Linked DNA regions of Rattus norvegicus. The protein of the gene in region 2 interacts with the protein of the main gene of each other region in a biochemical or structural test. Links are inferred from orthologs where the notes say so. Each region holds a gene or a part of one and is shown on either strand. Other genes may lie near its edges.

The links.
Region 1: the proteins of Hnrnpa1 (region 2) and Psmd9 interact in a test that uses a peptide from one of them, tested with the Homo sapiens proteins (3 studies listed by BioGRID and IntAct, with this or other methods). The link is inferred for Rattus norvegicus from reciprocal best matches to the Homo sapiens genes HNRNPA1 and PSMD9.

The regions. Positions count from the first base shown.
Region 1 is NC_086030.1:39,015,449-39,019,197, forward strand, and holds the start of Psmd9 (26S proteasome non-ATPase regulatory subunit 9), read right to left. Parts: upstream 2,817-3,749; 5' UTR 2,757-2,816; coding exon 2,619-2,756; intron 1-2,618. UniProt on the Homo sapiens protein: Acts as a chaperone during the assembly of the 26S proteasome, specifically of the base subcomplex of the PA700/19S regulatory complex (RC).
Region 2 is NC_086025.1:136,252,930-136,256,678, forward strand, and holds the start of Hnrnpa1 (heterogeneous nuclear ribonucleoprotein A1), read left to right. Parts: upstream 1-1,188; 5' UTR 1,189-1,229; coding exon 1,230-1,244; intron 1,245-1,288; exon of another isoform or gene 1,289-1,646; intron 1,647-1,786; coding exon 1,787-1,903; intron 1,904-2,159; coding exon 2,160-2,306; intron 2,307-2,477; coding exon 2,478-2,688; intron 2,689-2,774; coding exon 2,775-2,867; intron 2,868-2,954; coding exon 2,955-3,047; intron 3,048-3,194; coding exon 3,195-3,269; intron 3,270-3,472; coding exon 3,473-3,631; intron 3,632-3,749. UniProt on the Homo sapiens protein: Involved in the packaging of pre-mRNA into hnRNP particles, transport of poly(A) mRNA from the nucleus to the cytoplasm and modulation of splice site selection.

The DNA of each region.
Region 1 (3,749 bases), on a different chromosome or scaffold from region 2:
TGAAAGGGGAGTTTTTAGCAGTGATATCTAATTTATCATTTTCCTTTCATAATTTCTTTTTACTTTTATGTGGGGGAGGGACTGGGTCTCACATATGTAGTCTAAGCTGAACACCTGAGAGCCTGTCTTTTTTTTTTTTTTTCCCTGTTTTGTTTTTCTGTTTTCTGTGTAGCCATGGCTGTCCTGGAACTCACTCTGTATACCAGGTTGGCCTCAAACTCAAACTCAAGAGATCCGTCTGCCTCTGCCTCCCAAGTGTTGGTATTAAAGAAGTGAGATACAACCACCCAGCTGGGAGCCTGTCTTTTTAATTAATTAAAAATCAGAGCAGACTTTTAAGCTTCAAGCCCTCAGCAACCAAAAACCAAGTTAGTCAAAGCAATTAGCATACACTCTTACCTTACAGTTAAGAGAAAACAGCCTCAGATTTTGTGCAGCACAGTTATAATTTTTCCTCTTATTTGGTTTTTAATGCATGTGTTTGTGTGTATGCATGCAGGGGTACCTGTGTGTGCACATACATATGCATGCCATGCAATGAGCCGGTCGCAGGATAATCTCAAGGGGGCATCCGCAGGAACACTGTCTACCTCCTTTGAGACAGGGAGTCTCACCAGCCTACAGCTCGTCACACAGGCTAGACTGGCTGGCCATAAACCCCGGGGATCTTCCTGTCTCTGCCTGTCCAGTTGGGATTACAGACAAGGACCACTATACCCATGAGTTCTAAGGACTGAACTCAGGTCTTCGAGTGTGTGAGGGATGCATTTGACAGTAGCTCCCCAGCTCCTCTACCTACCGCTGGTTTGTTCAGACGGGGCCTTGCTGTTTCACTGGAATTCTCTGTGTAGAACAGACTGGCCCTGAACGTGCGGCAATCTCCATGCCTTTGCTCCCGTGAGGTTGCAGGTATACAATACCGCACCCAGCTAAATAGTAAAGAATAGACCAATACCAAAAGACAATATGTGAGGTGTATGATTCTCCTTGAGTAGGCAAGTAACTTCAGTTTAAGAAATGAGTTTTGGGGGTTGGGGATTTAGCTCAGTGGTAGAGCGCTTGCCTAGCATGCGCAAGGCCCTGGGTTCGGTCCCCAGCTCCGAAAAAAAGAACCAAAAAAGAAAAAAAAAAAAAAAAAAGAAACGAGTTTTGGCCAGGCGGGGATAGTGCACGCCTTTAATCCTAGTACTTGGGAGGCAGAGCCTGGTGGATCTCTGCGTTTAGGACAGCCAGAGCTACAAAGAGAAATACTTATTCGATCAACAAAACAAAAACTGCTTTTTACCTACTTTCAGTACAGGTCTAAGGTTTGCCAGCCCTGAGGTCTGTGACTTAAAACAAGTGACTTCTTACTTACACACACACACACACACACACACACACACACACACACACACACACAGAGGTTATTATTTTTTAAAAGAGATTTGTGTCTGTTTAAATGTATCCCCGAGCATGTGGAGTTACAGGTGTTTGTGGGACACGTGAATTGTAATACGGTGAGTGCAGGATTTGAACTCCAGTTCTCACGATTATGCAGCCAGTGTCTTTAAACTCAGAGCCATCTCTCCAGCCCCTGACTCTGCCTCTTTGAGCTTCAGGGACACACACGACTTAACAATGGAGTTGTGACAATCTCCTGATACAACACACATACAAGATACTACCTTTCAGGCATATGGTCAGCACCTACCTGGCATATAGAACCTCTAGAGGATCCATTATGTGACACCTGTCCCCCAGGAGTCATTGCACCCAGCCTATCTGAGTGTGATTTAGCCTCCCCTTCCTCTACAAACTGACTTGTGGTTTTAAGAAAAATACATCTGCTTAAGAGATAAACATCACTGAGCCAACCACTGCCTCTTTGGTGCATCTGCTCCACTCTGGGCCTCAGTTTCCCCATTTACAGTAAGGGTAATGCGCTTTATCTGTCATTACTCAAAGGAGCCTTAGTAGCAGAGGTGGGAGTTATCCCGAAATACAGAGTCTTTTCCCCACCCCAATTGGAATCTGCATTTTATTTTTACTTTGTTTGTTTGTATGTTTGAGACAAGGTCTAATATAGCCCAGGCTGGCCTCGAGCTTACTGTGTAGGCAAGAATAACCCTGAAGTTTTGATCCTCTTGCCTCCACTTTCCAGGTGCTGGGATTAAATAAGGATGTCTTCCCTGGCTACAACATGCAATGTGACAAGATGCCCAGTTAATTCTCACAGTTGACACTTAAAAAGTCCTAATGAAAAGCGGGGTACAAGGCGCACCAAACCTTGTACCATTACCTATAGAAGGTGACAGTGGCGATTATCACTATGCCTCAGCAAATATTCTATCCCTGTGACCAAGGCAGTTTAACTAATGCGTTAGGCCTACCACGGTGGCACAAGTCTGTGAAGGATCACGAGTTCGAGGCCAGCTTGGGGCTGCGTTAAAAACAAACAAACAAACAAGAAGCTTAAAAATGCAAAGTTAATGCTTCCGAAAATGAAAATAAATCCCACGTCAGGGGAAAGTACTTAAAAACGGCGTCTGGCCCGCAGCAAAGGCCCCCTAGGATTCTGCTTGGCAGGAACCCCAAGCCTCATCACTAGGCCTCCCCATCCTGTCTGCCACACTCACGCTCTCGAGGACGTCGTAATTAGCCTTGATCTGCGCCTCGATTTCCTCCTTGCGTCGCATCAGCTCCTGGATGTCGCTGACCGCGGCCGCACGGGCCTCAGAGGACTCTGCCCGGTGCCGGACTTCCTCACTCGACATCGCGGACCTCAGCCTAAAACGCCGGACGCCAGGTTTCCCGGCTACGGACACCGGGAGGCTGGAGCTACGGGTCCTCCCAAGGGACAAAATACTTCAGCCAATGCACAAGTACTGAGTTTGGAGGTGGGGCGAGGTCACCGGAAACTCCAGCTAAATAGACCACGTGGTTTTCAGATGACCCGGCAGAGCTAAGTGGAGACAGGATGACGTAGGCTTTTTTTTTTCTTTTTTTTTTTTTTTCCGGAGCTGGGGACCGAACCCAGGGCCTTGCGCTTGCTAGGCAAGCGCTCTACCACTGAGCTAAATCCCCAACCCCATGACGTAGGCTTTAACTCTCGTTTTATACGTGACTTATTTCCACTTTTCTTTCTCATTCCTTCCTTTCTTCCTTCCTCCCTTTTTCATTCTGCCCCTGTTTCTCCCTCCCCCGTTTTTCAAGATAGGGTTTCTCTATGTGCCTCTGCCTCTTGAGTTCCGGGATTAAAGCCACCACATCCGGTTCACACATAGTTTTCATTCACTCAGCCTTCACTGGTCACCGGCTGTATGAAAGTGAGAGAATCCAGTCTTGCCGATACACTTCAGTTCTTAATATCTACGAAGCCCCTGAGCATTTAGAAAAATGCTTTCAAGCGATTTGCTGCCTTTCTCAGACAAGATCAAGTGTATCTCAGACGGGCCCTCAAACTCGCTCTGCAGATGAGGAAGACCTTGAAACTATTTCCAAGTTTTTAGAATTGGAAAAAGGAGTGGGTGTTCCTGATCCCCAATATTGCATAAACCATACCTGGTGGTACATGCCTGTAATCTCTGCCTGTGGAGGGAGGGTCAGATGCTGGGCACTGAAGAATTAGGTTATAAAAAAGAGGACTTGAGGGCTGGGGATTTAGCTCAGTGGTAGAGCGCTTACCTAGGAAGCGCAAGGCCCTGGGTTCGGTACCCAGCTCCAAAAAAAGAAGAAGGAGAAGGAGAAGGAGAAGTGCTTGCCTAGCA
Region 2 (3,749 bases):
GAGAGTAGTCTGTCCTACTGGCTCCAGGTTTGCTCTATATGAATTTAACCTACCGACTCCCGCGCTCCCCACTGGAGTCCAGCCTCTGCCTCTTGGGGAAGGCCGGCCTATGGCGCGCTTGGGGTTCATTGGCTCGGAGAGACGCAACTCAGGCAAGAAAAACCCGCCTCCCACATTCCGATGGCCCAAGGACCGGTTGGTAGGCAGCTATAGGAAGACCCAATTGGCCTATACACTCGCCAGTCAAACGCTTCGGCAACGCAGCTTCACCGAACCTGCAAGGATAAAACATCCCGCCCCAGTTGTCCTATTGGCTGGCCCGACCCGTCGCGGCCCCTTCACCGTCGTCTCCCCCCCCCCCCCAGTTCAGCGGTCCATTCATTTCGTACAATAACCGGTGCAATTGGAGCAGGTTCAAGATCTCGTACGGGTAGACAAGACTCTGCCACTTACCCGGGATCTAAAGTGATCACTCACACTAAGGCCTGCACGGTTCCTCTGTGGCAAAGCGGCACCACAAGCCACCGCTACCGCCGCCTTCTGCGCAATGCCAACCGCCCGCCAAAACGGATCCTTCCCTGCGCCTGCGCAACCAATCCCGGGCTTGGACCTTTTCTCCGCCCAAAACGCCTGCGCAAAACAGAACACAGGTCCCTCCACTACGCAGGCGCCTACGAACCTCGTATCCCTCTCCCGCCCGCCATTTCACGTGTTCCAGACAGCAGGCGGAACTTCGTACTGCGCCGGCGTAAACTCGCCATTTTTATTACACATGCGCTTTATAGCTGGGAAAAGTCGCGGCGAACTACTTTCTAACGTATCGTCCTTTGCCGAGTGAGTTTGTAACATTCGGGTGTGGGGAAGGTATAAAACACATTTAAAGACGTGAGTACATTCAAATATAAATTACTGGCTAGCTAGCCAATCAATGTGGTTAAGAATAAGATCCCTTGGGGCGTCAATGACTCAAAGGGGCGGGGACTGAGTAGAACGCCCAAACGGATGCCGTTTCTTAGCAGGGCGTTTTTACAGGCCAATGGTGGGAGGGAACAATTTCAAATCTCCAATAAGACTGAAGCAAGGGCGGAGTCTACCAATGCCGAAAGCGAGGAGGCGGGATAAAAGGGAGAGCAGAAGGTAGGCTGCCGGACACGTTCGCTATCTTATTCCTTTCTGCTCTTTGACGCTGGCGAGGAAGCATCGCTGAACGCTCTCATCATCCTACCGTCATGTCTAAGTCAGAGGTGAGTTGAGCGCGCTCTGCAGCTTCGCTTTCTTCCACACTTACTGAATATGACGGGATGTGACCTGTTTTGTCGCTGGCTCCCGTGCTTTCGGTGTTTGATCGATTACTGCTGAGGCCTACTTTAAAAAATGCAGGTCGCCATTTTGTCCTCATAGTCACCATGAGGCTGCGATCCGACAGCCATTAGTTTCTACGCACTGTTCCTTTTGGCAGAATTCTTACACTTAACGATCTGGGGTTTGTGGCCTTTTTTTCGTTTTTCCCTATCTGGTCTAATGATCTCTTGTTAAAGAGATACTAAGTCTTAATGGCGATGGACCAGACCAACCTGTGTCTTTTGTTGCGCCTGCGTATGAAGTAACAGGACGCATGCGCCGCGTGCAACTCGAGTCCCCAGTCAAGCCCAGGAAGGAGCACGTGGTCTTGTGCAGTAATAAAGAACAATAAAAAAGTGTGGCGTGTGTTGATGAATGGTGTTGATTCATTCGCCCAAGTTTCAGGCCCTCCACTAAGCCCCCTCTTTCCCCCACTTTATTTTAGTCCCCCAAGGAACCGGAACAGCTGCGGAAGCTCTTCATTGGAGGGCTGAGCTTCGAAACAACCGACGAGAGTCTGAGGAGCCATTTTGAGCAATGGGGAACACTCACCGACTGTGTGGTAAGATTTAAAAAAACAAAAGGAAGAGCTGCCTTATTTCTTCTGATTTAACCTTGACGCTTCTTAGCTAAATGTTTTGTGAAGTTAATTAATGGGATACTAAAAATCATCGTTGTGGAGCTTTGCTAACAAGATCTGTAAAAGAGCTTTTTATTTTCTGACTCTGGATGGAGTTTCATGTTTGCAGCGCTCTGACTAGGAATGACTTTTTGGCTTTGTGATCAGGCACTGTGTTGATTGAATTAACTCTAAACAGGTAATGAGAGATCCAAACACCAAAAGATCCAGAGGCTTTGGGTTTGTCACATATGCCACTGTGGAGGAAGTGGATGCTGCCATGAATGCAAGACCACACAAGGTGGATGGAAGAGTTGTGGAACCTAAGAGAGCTGTGTCAAGAGAAGTGAGTGGTTTTTCCTAATAGCTGGTTCTTTTTTAACCTGAGATTGTAATGGGGCAGATCTCAACTGGGAGATCCTCCCTCCTGAGTGAAATTAAAGGCATGTGCCACCACAGGTGTCAATCATTTAGGAATGTGCTGCTACTAAATAACTGGAGTCATTTTTCCTTTTAGGATTCTCAGAGACCAGGTGCCCACTTAACTGTGAAGAAGATCTTTGTTGGCGGTATTAAAGAAGACACTGAAGAACATCACCTACGAGATTATTTTGAGCAGTATGGGAAAATTGAAGTGATTGAAATTATGACTGACAGAGGCAGTGGAAAAAAGAGGGGATTTGCGTTTGTCACCTTTGATGACCATGACTCTGTGGATAAGATTGTTAGTAAGTATCAGAGGATTACATTTTCCTTTATGATTCTGGAGTTCACATGTTTTTTTAAAAGTCCTGAATTTAATTTTTCCTCTTAGTTCAGAAATACCATACTGTGAATGGCCACAACTGTGAAGTAAGAAAGGCTCTGTCGAAACAAGAGATGGCTAGTGCTTCATCCAGCCAGAGAGGTGTGTTTATTGCTTGGTTAGACTTGGGGTGAGGAGGACACTGTTAGTTATTACAGGTTAACCTAATGATCCAAAATTTCTTTTAAGGTCGAAGTGGTTCCGGAAACTTTGGTGGTGGTCGTGGAGGTGGTTTCGGTGGCAATGACAATTTTGGTCGAGGAGGGAACTTCAGTGGTCGTGGTGTGTATGGCTTTGTTTGGCTCCTTGTTGGTTTTAGAACTTATAACTAGTAATTGCTACCCTGTGTCCCCAGCACTTACAGGTTTTGATATTTGATAAGTATTCATTCACGTACAAAGCCTGGTTTAAAGCTTTGGTTTCTTCCAGGTGGCTTTGGTGGCAGCCGTGGTGGTGGTGGATATGGTGGCAGTGGGGATGGCTATAATGGATTTGGCAATGATGGTAAGTTTCTTAAGGAGTCTGTAAGGAGTGGTTTCTGGCGACCTCTACCTTTAGAATAGGCTACTAGAGACTAAACCTAGTGCATGACAAAGTTCAGTCAGCCCCGTAAAATGCATGCCCTGAGCAGCCTTTAGCTATTTAACTTGCGTAGATTTTTCTTGTTAAATACTTTTGTCTTATTGAGAAGACTTGTATTCTTGTAGGTGGTTATGGAGGAGGCGGCCCTGGTTACTCTGGAGGAAGCAGAGGCTATGGAAGTGGTGGACAGGGTTATGGAAACCAGGGCAGTGGCTATGGCGGGAGTGGCAGCTATGACAGCTATAACAACGGAGGAGGCGGAGGCGGCTTTGGCGGTGGTAGTGGTAGGTATCCAGTGACGCAGGTACTTGGTGCGGAGCTAGATGAGACTTCCAGGGTTTATGCCCGTCTCAGACTTCACGGCTGGCTCTTAGAGCATTGTAGGTACATTGCATGGTGCGT